Linked DNA regions of Diceros bicornis minor. The protein of the gene in region 3 interacts with the protein of the main gene of each other region in a pairwise test. Links are inferred from orthologs where the notes say so. Each region holds a gene or a part of one and is shown on either strand. Other genes may lie near its edges. The genes, in order: EHHADH, UBTD1 and MID1.

Evidence for each region.
Region 1: the proteins of MID1 (region 3) and EHHADH interact in binary tests that used the Homo sapiens proteins (3 or more experiments, as listed by UniProt). The two-hybrid records come from large-scale screens. The link is inferred for Diceros bicornis minor from reciprocal best matches to the Homo sapiens genes MID1 and EHHADH.
Region 2: the proteins of MID1 (region 3) and UBTD1 interact in binary tests that used the Homo sapiens proteins (3 or more experiments, as listed by UniProt). The two-hybrid records come from large-scale screens. The link is inferred for Diceros bicornis minor from reciprocal best matches to the Homo sapiens genes MID1 and UBTD1.

Annotation. Positions count from the first base shown.
Region 1 is NC_080754.1:38,518,499-38,522,246, forward strand, and holds the start of EHHADH (peroxisomal bifunctional enzyme), read left to right. Parts: upstream 1-924; 5' UTR 925-940; coding exon 941-1,014; intron 1,015-3,748. UniProt on the Homo sapiens protein: Peroxisomal trifunctional enzyme possessing 2-enoyl-CoA hydratase, 3-hydroxyacyl-CoA dehydrogenase, and delta 3, delta 2-enoyl-CoA isomerase activities. Catalyzes two of the four reactions of the long chain fatty acids peroxisomal beta-oxidation pathway.
Region 2 is NC_080745.1:63,274,608-63,278,355, forward strand, and holds the start of UBTD1 (ubiquitin domain-containing protein 1), read left to right. Parts: upstream 1-1,572; 5' UTR 1,573-1,833; coding exon 1,834-1,903; intron 1,904-3,748. Other genes in the region: MMS19 nucleotide excision repair protein homolog, read right to left, coding at 868-979. UniProt on the Homo sapiens protein: May be involved in the regulation of cellular senescence through a positive feedback loop with TP53. Is a TP53 downstream target gene that increases the stability of TP53 protein by promoting the ubiquitination and degradation of MDM2.
Region 3 is NC_080781.1:8,312,861-8,316,608, reverse strand, and holds the start of MID1 (E3 ubiquitin-protein ligase Midline-1), read left to right. Parts: upstream 1-890; 5' UTR 891-1,138; intron 1,139-3,748. UniProt on the Homo sapiens protein: Has E3 ubiquitin ligase activity towards IGBP1, promoting its monoubiquitination, which results in deprotection of the catalytic subunit of protein phosphatase PP2A, and its subsequent degradation by polyubiquitination.

The DNA.
Region 1 (3,748 bases), on a different chromosome or scaffold from region 3:
AGATTCTCCCTCTCTCCCGACAGTTTCGAGAGGTAAAAGAATATCTATGAAAATAGCCTTTAATCACTGCTAAAATTTGTGAAACATCAGTGAACAAAATCACTCCATTGTTTTTTTTCTCTGAAACTTCCAAACTGCCTTCTGGCCACTTGATGGCTGTGGAGACCACTAGGGGCCAATTACATCTAGAAAAACCTTGTCCCAGCCTGAACTTTTGGAGTGAAGGGGCTAGGCCTTATTTATCTTTAGTCTCTTGCCTACCTTAGCACATAATAGGTACTCAATTCATGAATGAAATGTTAGGATTCACAATCCTTAGGAATGGCAGAAGAAGAAAAAAATAGGATTAGGCAGACAAGAAACTCACAGGTTTCATTAGGTTACTGTAGGACTGTTCTGTAAAAATTTGGTTGATGTCAGTACCATACCTATTTAGGTGAAATGCATGATGTGTGTATTTTATGTGTTCCAGGTGTGTGTCATATCACATAATTGTCAGGACCCCAGATATCTGACCCTGTTAAGAAGGATCATGAGGATGAAATCTGTGATGAGGACAGCTCCACCAACTTAGTGAACCTAGAACTCGTTCAGAGAAGCCAGCCCCCTGGGCCAGGGGGTTGCAAACCTCAACTTCCTGGCAATTCCACCCGTTTTCCATCGTCTTCCCTGATCTACTTTGTAACGGGAGCAGGATGGGAGCCAAGAAAGAGAAACGGAAGACAAGGGTTTGCAGAGCGCGGGGCTGGGGTCCGGAAAAGGGGGAGGGCTGGGTCGGAGGATGGGCGTCGGTGCCCGGGAGCGGCGGGGCGGCGGGAGGTGGCGCCGGGCTCGCATTGGCCCAGCGGGCGCCCCTCCTCGCGGGGCCGGCCCGGCGCGCCGAGAAAAGGAGCATTGCCCTGGGGCGGGAGGCGGAGGCGACCTCGGCGACAGAGGAGACATGGCTGAGTATACGCGGCTGCAGAACTGCCTGGCGCTGATCCGCCTCCGAAACCCGCCGGTCAACGCGATCAGGTAACGGGCTCGGTGGCCTCCAGCCCCGGGACAGCAGGGCCTTAGCCGTCTGCCCGCTGTGGTGGCTTTGACTCTCCTCTGCTGGTTTAAACGGAGAGAGGCACTAACACAGGTTGAACAACGGCATATGCCTTTTACGTAGGTTAGCTTGGTTCATGTTCGCAGAGAACTCGCATCCCGGTTTCACTGGTAAGAAACCGAGGCTGAGAGGTGGACAGAGGGCCACAAAGTTGGGGAGCTGGCCTTGAACCGGGTCTGTCCATGCCTTGCAACTTTGACTTCTCACCCGTACTTTCTATTCCAAAGGTCTAAGCGCAGTGCTGGCTAGACCTTGATCTCTCCCTTGCCAACTTGGAGTCCAGGCCACCCTTACAATGTGTAACTAAAAGCTCTAGGAATCCAACAATAAAGTGACTTCACATTCTTAAAAATAAATTAAGGTCTCCATTAATGCCAACTCAGTGAAGTAAAGGAGAATTGTGTCCTGGCCCAGAAAAGCACAGTTCTATCTCTTGATCTGTCTAAACCTCGGGGCCTTAGTGCTTCAGTGCTTGGAAGATCCAAGTCAGAGTAAGCCTATTAAATAACATTTTCTGAAAAACTGCTGTGCGGTTTATCTTCTTTTATTTTATCGTGGAGCACCTTCCTTGTTAAACTCTCTAACCCAGATTTGTGCAGTGCACTTAAGCAGTACTTTTAAAAGGGAGATTAATGCTGCTTTTTTGAAAATTAGCATAGGTTTGGTTCTTTCATATCTCTGAAAAAAGTATAGTGATACATCAGCCTAGTAGAGAGCCACCCCATCCCTAGGGAGTAGGATTAGCAGAATTTATGAAGAATATATAAAGTATGGAGAGAAAGACCTTTGCTCAAAATTCTTATTGCCTGCTGCTGGAGCAAAAAGGGACTGAACGAGGAGACCTGCTCATTTTAACTGAATTTTTTTCCTACTGTCATCAGATTTGATTATATCATTAGTATTAATATTATAATTCTTATCTTTGACATGAATTATTACATTTAATAATACAAAAAATATGCAAGAGTAAAATCACACAACGATGATATGTCTGCCTACTTGCCATTCTCAGAAAAAGGCAAAATAGCCATTATTTTGGTTTTGACCAAAAAAACCCATAAGCAATATGATTACATATCAATTTTAGACTTGTCTGTATTCTAATTAGAATGACTAGATACTAGGACTGTCTGCCTCAGCCTCTGCTCACAATGGGAAACCATGCCCATCAAGAATTTGGGGGAAAAATGTTCCACAGTGTAATACCTGTAACAAGGAATATTTTCTCATAGCTATTTTAAATATTTCAAGTATTTAACCTGCCCGCTTGCCCCCTGGAGAAATGTTAGTATGTACCTGATAAAGTTGTTGTGAGGTTTAAATGTGTTGGAGGAGGATGGGCGAAATGGCTGAAGGGGGTCAACTGTATGGTGATGGATGGTGACTGGACTTGCGGTGGTGATCACTTTGTAGTGTATGCAGATGTTGAATTATGAAGCTGTACAACTGCAACTTATACAATAAAAATACATAAATAAATGTGTTGGAGATTATAAACAGGCATTTAACAGATGTTAGCTATCATGATTTTTATTAGTCAGAGGCCTGTTATAAGCCCCTACCAACAGGCCCTGCTGCCCAGGATTCGTTTCAGCTTCATCAAGATTTTCTCCACTTGGGCATAAATACTTTTCTGCCCTTTCTCATCTATCTTCTTTTGAACTTATATTTTAGGTAGAGCTGTACATCCCAGCATGTTTATCAAGTTTAACAGGTTCCCTTTTTTTTGTGCTTTATATTTTTCTTTACTTCTTCTCTTTCTTTTCCCCTTCCTATTTCTAATTTTCTGTGGGAAATTATCTCTTCTTAGCTCACTGAGACATTCTTTTTTGAATACTTTTTGGCCCAAATAGTTTAAATCCTTCTCTGCTAGTTTAGCCAGCCATGTTTCCTTCCATTCAGATGAATGCCAACCCTCTTTACAAGTATAGGGCATGCCTGATTCCTAGGCCTGTCTCTCAGAACAATGGCTCTCCCACTTTTTTTTAACTGTAATCCACACAGTCAAAAACCCTGTTTTGTGTAGCAACCTAAGACACACAGACAAATACACAACTGAAAACAGTTTTGTGAGACAAAACTTGTCCTTATATGTTATATAATTTGATATATTCTATTTTCTCTTTTTCTGTATTTCTTGGTTTAAAAAAATGGTGGTCATAGCCATAAAGTTGATTTGACGACCTTTGGTTTAAAAAAAAAACCTAAAAAAAAAAGACCTCCTACAGTCACAGAAGCTAAAGAGTTTTGGTCAGCACTCATGAAATGTTATCTATTCCAGACTCCCCTTCTCCATACCTGACAATATTAAGGGGAGAAAATAATTTCTTGACCCCTGTGACCTTGACACTGCTCCTAGGCTGTGGTCTCTTTCAGGAGGCTTGAATCTAGTAAAGCTGTGTCTGTTACAGCCATCTTCATTTTTCTTTATTTCTTGTGTTTGATTTTTGCAAAATTGAAAGAACATAAGAAATAAAAGAGTAGGGGTTGGTTGAAATGGGAAAAGCCAAGCTCTTCTCCTCAGTGGCACTGTTTGAGCTCATTTTGGCTAATTTTGCAGCCATCATTTACCCAGAAGGAAATATGTGCCTTTTGTTGCTTTTGTTTTGTTTTCTTCTTCTTTTGTTTTTGTTTTCTTCTTCTTTTTTTTTCCTC
Region 2 (3,748 bases), on a different chromosome or scaffold from region 3:
AAAATTCCAAAAATAAAGCCAAAACTCATCTGTACTCAAGAGATTATTTTATATTCTATTACTTAAACACGAGGTCTGAAGCCCTCCTAACATTCAATAACTTTTTAGGTTTTTTCCTAAAAGAGTAAGGTCTCAGAACTCCAAGGAAATCTGTAATTTGCTTTATTCAAATCTAGATAAGCTGTCAGAACTAAGAGATTCCTGAACTGGTCAAAAGCAGGAAACTATAAAGATCTGGGGAAAAAATAAAAACAAATACCACACAAAAATGTCATGAAAAAATTAATCAAGAACTTTACCAAGAAATGTAGGGAAAGGCTTAGGGAGGATGCGCAGAACATCTCAAACTCTCCCCAGACTGGCATCTCTCCTCCTCTCTCCAATTAGAGCCAGTCAGACGCCCGGCCGCCCGGCCACTCCCAACATGCCACGTGACTCGAGCTGATGCCGCTGTAGATGCATCTTCTCACGTCAACCTCCCAGAAACAAGAGCTCTGGCGGTGTGAGCACCTGATTCTGAACTGAAGAACCTGGGTCCGAGTCCCAGCTCCCCCACTTGCCTGATCTGCGAGTCTCTTGCACTCGCTGGGCCTCAGTTTCCTCAAGTGAAATGGTAATTACTTTCCTAACCCGGCCAGCGCAAAGGGTGGCTATGCACGGAGACGAGGGTCGTAAAGGCGCTTTAGGGAAGATGCAAGCGACTCTCAGTTTGTTATGGCTTTTAAGCACGCGCTGCTCACAACCAGCCCCAGACCAATCTCTCAAAGTCACCACTGTCCCTCACTCCCTTCCCGCTCAGGGTCTGTGCTGAGGCCGCTCCCTCCTGCCGGCCCCCACGCGGAAGCCGCGCGGCGCCGTCTGCCGTACCTGCAGCCACTTGGTCAGCGGGGCCCTCCTGCTGACCCATGACGAAGTCGTGTACGAGGCCCCACAGGTTGCCTGTAGGCGCCACCGCCTCCAGAGCGGCGGCGGCGGCCATGATGCGAACCGCGGGAGGGAGAAGTGGGCGGTGGTACGGGACAGGCCTCTCGGCGCACGCGCCTCCCGAGCCAATGGGCTGGCGGAGGCTGAGGGGGCGGGGCGCTCCCTGGATCACGTGCCTGCAGGCTCCCGGCCAGGCAATTCCAGAGAGGCGTGGGACGGTCCCTCCCCGAGGGGCGGGGCCTAGAGTCGGGGCGGAGGCGCGGGGAGGGAAGGCGGCTGCTGGGCACGCAACCGGGGGCCGTTGAGGGCGAATAATTCCGGGCCCGGCTCCCCGGGAGACGGGCGGCGGGGCGGACACCTGGCTGGGTGGGGCCTAGGGGCGGTACGCACCCTAGGGAAGCCAATGAGAAAATCAGGCCCGGCCCGAGGGGGCGGTGCCGTCGGTCACATGCGCACCTGGGGCGGGCGGCGGCGGCGGCGCTGGCACTGCGAGCCAGGGGCAGGGAGCGGGGCCGGGCTGGGGCGGGGTTAGGCAGGTGAGTGACAGGCTCCAGGGGGCCGGCCCCAGCTGGGAGCCCCGAGCGAGCCGGGAGTAGCTGCGGCGGTGCCCGCCCCCTCTCTCCGCCCCTCCGGCGGAGCTGGTCTCCGGCCGGGCACCGTCGCGGGCCCCCCTGGCCCGGCCACCTGGGACTGTGCTGCGGAGTCGGCCACCTCCCTCTCTCCCCTCGCCCGCAAAGTTTGTGGCGAAGCCGGCGCTTGGGCAGAGCGCGACCCCGGGGGGAGATTGGGGAGCGCCTGATGCCCGGCGGCAGGAGCCGTTGACCCGGGACGCCGCCGTCCGGGCCAGGGGTGCGGAGCAGCCGGCCCGCCCGCCGCCTCCGGTGCATGGGGCCCGGCTGAGGAGGCAGCATGGGCAACTGCGTGGGGAGACAGCGCCGGGAGAGGCCGGACGCCCCGGGACACCCCCGCAAGCGAGCAGGTAACGACCGGGAAGGGAGCAGGGCAACGGGCGCCCCGCCAGTTGTCCCCCTCCTTGCCCGAGCCCTGGGCTCCCGGAGTGACCTCCCAAAGCTCCTGGAGCCTGGGTTTCCCCGATGGGTGCTCCTGAGCGAGACTGGGGCCCCCTCCCCAGCCCTGGTAACCGGGGGAGCCGAGTTGGGGCAACTGCGAGCGCTGACCCGCCTGTGAGCCCAACTTGCTCCAACTGGGAAGCTCCGGGTGGGGGTGGGGGCGGGGGCAGGAAATGTTTGCAGACCGCAGCGGGGCCGATGAAGGGGAGGAGGGCTCCGGGCGGGGGCGCCGCTGACCTGGCAGTAGGGCTGGGGTCGGACGTCCACCCGTCGGGACACGGTGCGGGCGGCTAGGCGTCCCCAGAACTCTGAGCGAGCGAGGCGAGAACAGTCGCTCCTTCCAAAGACTGTGTCATTATCCGGCTGCAGATCGTGTCTGCCGGAATCCGACTTGCAAAAGCAGCGCAGGACTCTGGGAAAGAAATCTTTATTTTTCCCGCAGGCTTTTTAGAGCCTCCTGGCCGTCTGGGAGCCTGGGAAAGGTGGGGTGCGGGGTGGGAATCGCCCTCGGGTTCGTTGGGATACTTCCCAGCCTTGGGAATGGGATCTACTCTCTGCTGATCTGCGAGGGCCGAGCAGCGCCTTCTCACTTTCTTGGTACACTCCTATCCTGGCGTTTTGCCCCGGGAAGAGGTCTGGCGGCCGCTTCCCCGTGTCTTGTACTCACTTCCTTCTCTGAGGATGTTGCAAGGACCTTCTGAGAATGATAAAATCGTAGACTTTAGAGCTGTAAGGGACCTTTGAAGCTTGTCTAGAGTCCAGATAGACGTACCTCCTCCTGTCTATGTACAAAGCCCAAATCCAGAGAGGTTGATCAACTTGCCCAAAGCCACACAGCTAGTTGGTAGTACAGCTAGAGGTAGAACGCAGTCTCCTCTTCCACCCAATTGCCACATATCCCTTTGTGTCAGAAGAGCTACAGGCAGGATTGTTAATGAAGTGGAAATTCTAGTTGGAGTTTCCTGTCTCGTTTGACACTGAAGGTGTGTTGCTTGGGTTGTGGAAACCGGGAAGTAGGATGAGGGGAAACGGGGGAAGCAGGGAAGGATGTCTGTGTGGTGGACAGGATGACTTGTGGAAGAGACATGTTTTTATAGGGGGGACAGGGTAAAATTTAACATTGAAACCCTCTTGTCTGAAGGCAACCCTGACCTTTCTTCTGACTGAGGAAAGTTAATTCTCAAACCCAAGGGCTTTCTTCCTTTCATTCATTCATTTATTCAACAAGTATTTATTATTTATGTGCTCAGTCCACATAATTGACTTAGTAGCATTTTTCACTAACAACCCACTCCTACTTGAAATAATCCCTCCTTCCCTTCTTGTCATTAGACTATCTTGGTTTTTTTCTCTGATCACTCCTGCCCACCATCACCTCCTGGGTGTGGGCACACCCGTGATTCAATATGACATTCCATTTTTTTCTCTCATTATACTCCCTCCCAGGGAAATCTTATTCAGTCCCACAACTCTGTCTGTTGGGAAGACCTCTAATCTGTATCTTCAACTATTGCCTCTTGAACCCCACACTCATATCTCTAACTGCCCACTGGATGCCCTAATGTAGATATCCTTAGATTCAGCACTTCTAAAACCAGCTCTGCATCTCTCCCCCTCAACCAGCTTCCCTCTTCTCTTCCATTCTTGCAGCTGCCTAGCTTTGTACTTTGAAGAACTCTCTCTGCTGACTTTCTCTGCCTCCATGTCCTCTGCCTCCCAGCCAGTCAGTCACTGGAACCTGCTGGATCCTCCTT
Region 3 (3,748 bases):
AGACACAAGCACAACAGCGTCTCCTTAGAAATAATGACTCCAAGGCAAACAGCCCTCATTGCAAATTGTAGAACTGTGCCATCTGCTTGTCTCCTCTTTGATTTATTCGGTTCAGGGTTTTAAATGACGTAATAGAAAGGTAAGTCTTCTTTTTAAAAACTTGAGGGGAAAGGGAGGAATTCCAGATTGATTATAGCATATCTGAAATATATATTAAAATATTTGCCTTAAGTTAGAAGGGGATTTGGATTTATAAGGTGTGAATATTGTTGTGAAATGCAAGGGTAAACCCTGTCCTGGGAAGATAAGGTAAACTTTAGATCTTAAAAAAGGTCATGCCTTACAACTTAGCAATTTACTTTTATTTAATATTTTAAAAATACAAATTTTTGTAAAAACAGTAATTTTCAGGATCTTTGATAGAGCATGTAGATCCACGTTTTCGTATTTGATATTCTGCCTTTTCTTGGTGTTTTAAGTTTGTTTTCAGTTTATTTTCAGTTTGGGGATAAATTAAAAACAAACAGTTGCTATAAATTGTCAGGGCTTTTAAAGTGCTAGGTAAATTTGGGCAGCTTCTAGCTGATGTCTACATAACTTGTTTGAAATCATTCTGTTCTGGAAGGGAGTATAAAGGGGTGTAGAACTCAGATGAAGTTTTAGGCTGAGCCCCCTCTCCCATCCCCGAGAGATACTGCCAGGCGTTTGGAGGGTGTAGAAAGAGCAAACGCCCATCTCCATGCCTTACCAGGGACCTGTCCTATTCCCCGCCTTGGTACTTCGTGTCCTGTCGCTGAGGGGTGCAGAGGGCTGAGTTCGATGCCTCTGTGAGGATTCGCCTTGCAGGAATTAATGCCAGCAAACACCTCCCTTCCCCGCCTCCCCTCCCGCTCCCCAGGAGAGGCGCTTCTGCAGAAGTCATTTGGTGTGTGTGCCGGTTTTCCTTGTGAGGGGATTAGAGAATAGGAGAGTGCTTTGTGAGAAAAATCCTGGGAGAGGTTGCTGGGGAAAAACCAAACAGAGGGAAGGAAGACTTCAGCTTTCTTGGTCCCCTCAGTGAAGTGACTCTAAGAAACCCAGTTGCCTGGCCTAGAGCAGCTGTGGGGTTGTTTTCTTTCGTCTACCGTAGGAGAAACTGGTAAGGCTCATTTTTTTCTACTGCTCTGGGATGCTACTATAATTGCTTTATTAAAGTGCTGGTGTTGGAAGGAAGGGAAATTGGTTAGTGATTCTGGGGACATCCTGCATTGTCTCTGCCTGATGTATGAGAGAGGTACTGTTTCCTGCACAAAGAGCCGGTAGCCATAGCATAATTTTACTTTTCCCAAACTTGATTAGCATCACTTTTGAGCAACTGACTTAAACAAAACATATGCACACACAGAAACTATACTCCATATAGGAATGCACCTATTTATAGGATAATCATATTTTTAAAGCATTTATATCTAAATTTGATTAGTTTGGGGGTACAACTGCATGGGGAGTAGGAGAAAATCAAGCCTTTCTGGAAAATTCCAAATTGTCTGTTTCCTGTGAGAATGTACATTTCCCCTGTTTTGTAACTAGGGCTGTGGGGACCAAAACCACTGCTGATAAACCAAGTAGTCCCAAGAGTAAGTTCCAGACAGGGTGAAATAAGGGGAGAGTGGTCCCACTAAAGTGAGGAAAACAGAGTTTTGAGTTAGTCATGAAGAACTTTATATTCTCTATTTGTTACTCAGCCAGCGTTCTAATCAGAAAGAAGAAATAAGGAAGCTGCCCCAGAATCAGAAAGAATAGGTACCACGTCTCCTTTAGCGTTTTCAAGGAATCGGCTCGCTCAGACAGCCTTATTCGGCAAACGGTACTTCTTACTCCCTAATTCCATTCTGTTATTTTTAGAATTGATGTTTATATTTGTGTGGAGATATACATAATTTATATGGCTACATATACACACACATATATATATATATCCTTTTATTATATCCTGGGAAATTTGACCCTGAATAGTTTAGAAATATATTAATTCAGTTTGAGGCGAATTATCCCTCAAGCAAACTGCTCAAGTCCTTCTGAGTTGGAGTATGTGTGGAGAAGATATAAGTGACAGACAGCTGTTGTTTCGGTGATGGACAAGTCAGAAGCCTGTACTCGGAGCTGAGAACCAAATTCCTGCAAGCCCTGCCCGCCCCGCCCGCCCCGCCCCCACCCCACAGGAGGGGGTGGTAATCTTTGTTGTGGTGATTGTTTTTCCCTGAGAAAGTTTGGATGCTGCCTAACGTAGCTGACTCTACATTTTTTTTCCTCCTCAGTAAAATAAAACGAAAATCTTTATGCAAAGTTCTGATGGTAGATGTTTAGTTTCTAAACTTAACATCAAACAAATAATACACTTATTATTATTCCAGTTGAATCTGTGCCTCATGAAAACAAATGATCAAATAAAATGATCAACACCAACTAATTACCCAGGTCTGCAATTTTAACTTCATTTGAAATTAGGCCCATAGAGTTTTTTCTACTTAATTCTGCTGTCTTAAGATGGCCTGATTATTAGAATATTCAAAAATTGAAAATGTGTGGCATTTATTTCATTAACAACAATCAGTTTTTTAAAGTATATAACTATTTAAATAAACTTTCCTTGCATGCATGTTAATGTGAATGCCTGAAAAAAATATATGCTCTTTCTTTAAAATGAGCTAATTATTTGCCTGCCCTAAAATTCGCAAAAAAATGAAAGCCAATTCCCTGTCAATTTCAGTCTTCATTCTTCTTCAACTGAAAATGCTAATTCAACCAAACAGTTCTATCTTTGCCTTTAGGAATTGTCTATGGAATGCAAGCAGTTAATTTGAGGGTCCTGAATGTGAGATAACAGTTAATCAATTTATCTGTGATCTCTGAGGACGCCTGGGAGGTTTTCAAATTGTGATCAATGTTATTTACTATTCTCTACTGCATGCTCGATCCAGTTTCAAAGACTATTTACCTTCATAATATTTGAGCCCGAGAGCATCGAGTTTATTAGAATTGATTTTCTTTCCAGGTTGATCTTTTAAAATACTTTTGCTGGTCATTTTTCTCTACCACCTCATGAGATTTTCATTCATCTGGCATATATTTATTGAGTGTCATTAGTGTGGCCCATGTTTGCTGTTAGAGATGAAAACTATATTTTGATGGGTCTTCCTGCAGAGGTGGCCAAGGCTAGAAGGGAAAAGACCAACTTTTTCTGTTCTAACAATTCTGTGCATGTTCACGTTGTTCAATTGCAAATGTGGTTTCAGCAACAACAGAAAATGCTCGTTCTTCTGAATTATTGATACATTAAAATATGCTACTGGCTACTTAGAACCTGGGAGTTGAGTTAATCAATAATCCTCTCACATTGCACAAGACCTGCTGTATGTTATTCTCATCCCTGGGCATTTAAATAATTAAAAAGTAAGATTTCTCATGAATTAATCTGGCCATTGCTCAAGTTGGGAAAAGATGGACCAAAATGTTTTAGCAAGCTTAATCTTTATAACTTATAAATTACTGTTCCTTCTCATTTTTTGCCTTGATATATTAGGGTTTTTTTTTTTTGTTAGATGGTTTTTGTTAAATATTTTTGTTTTGTTAAATGGCATACCACAATAATGTACATAATTAATAATATCAATAGGAACAGGGCATCATGGGAAAGAAATGAGCGTTTCTTGAATCCACAATGAATCAGCCACTGCCCTGGCATCTTCACAAGCATGTTATCATTTAA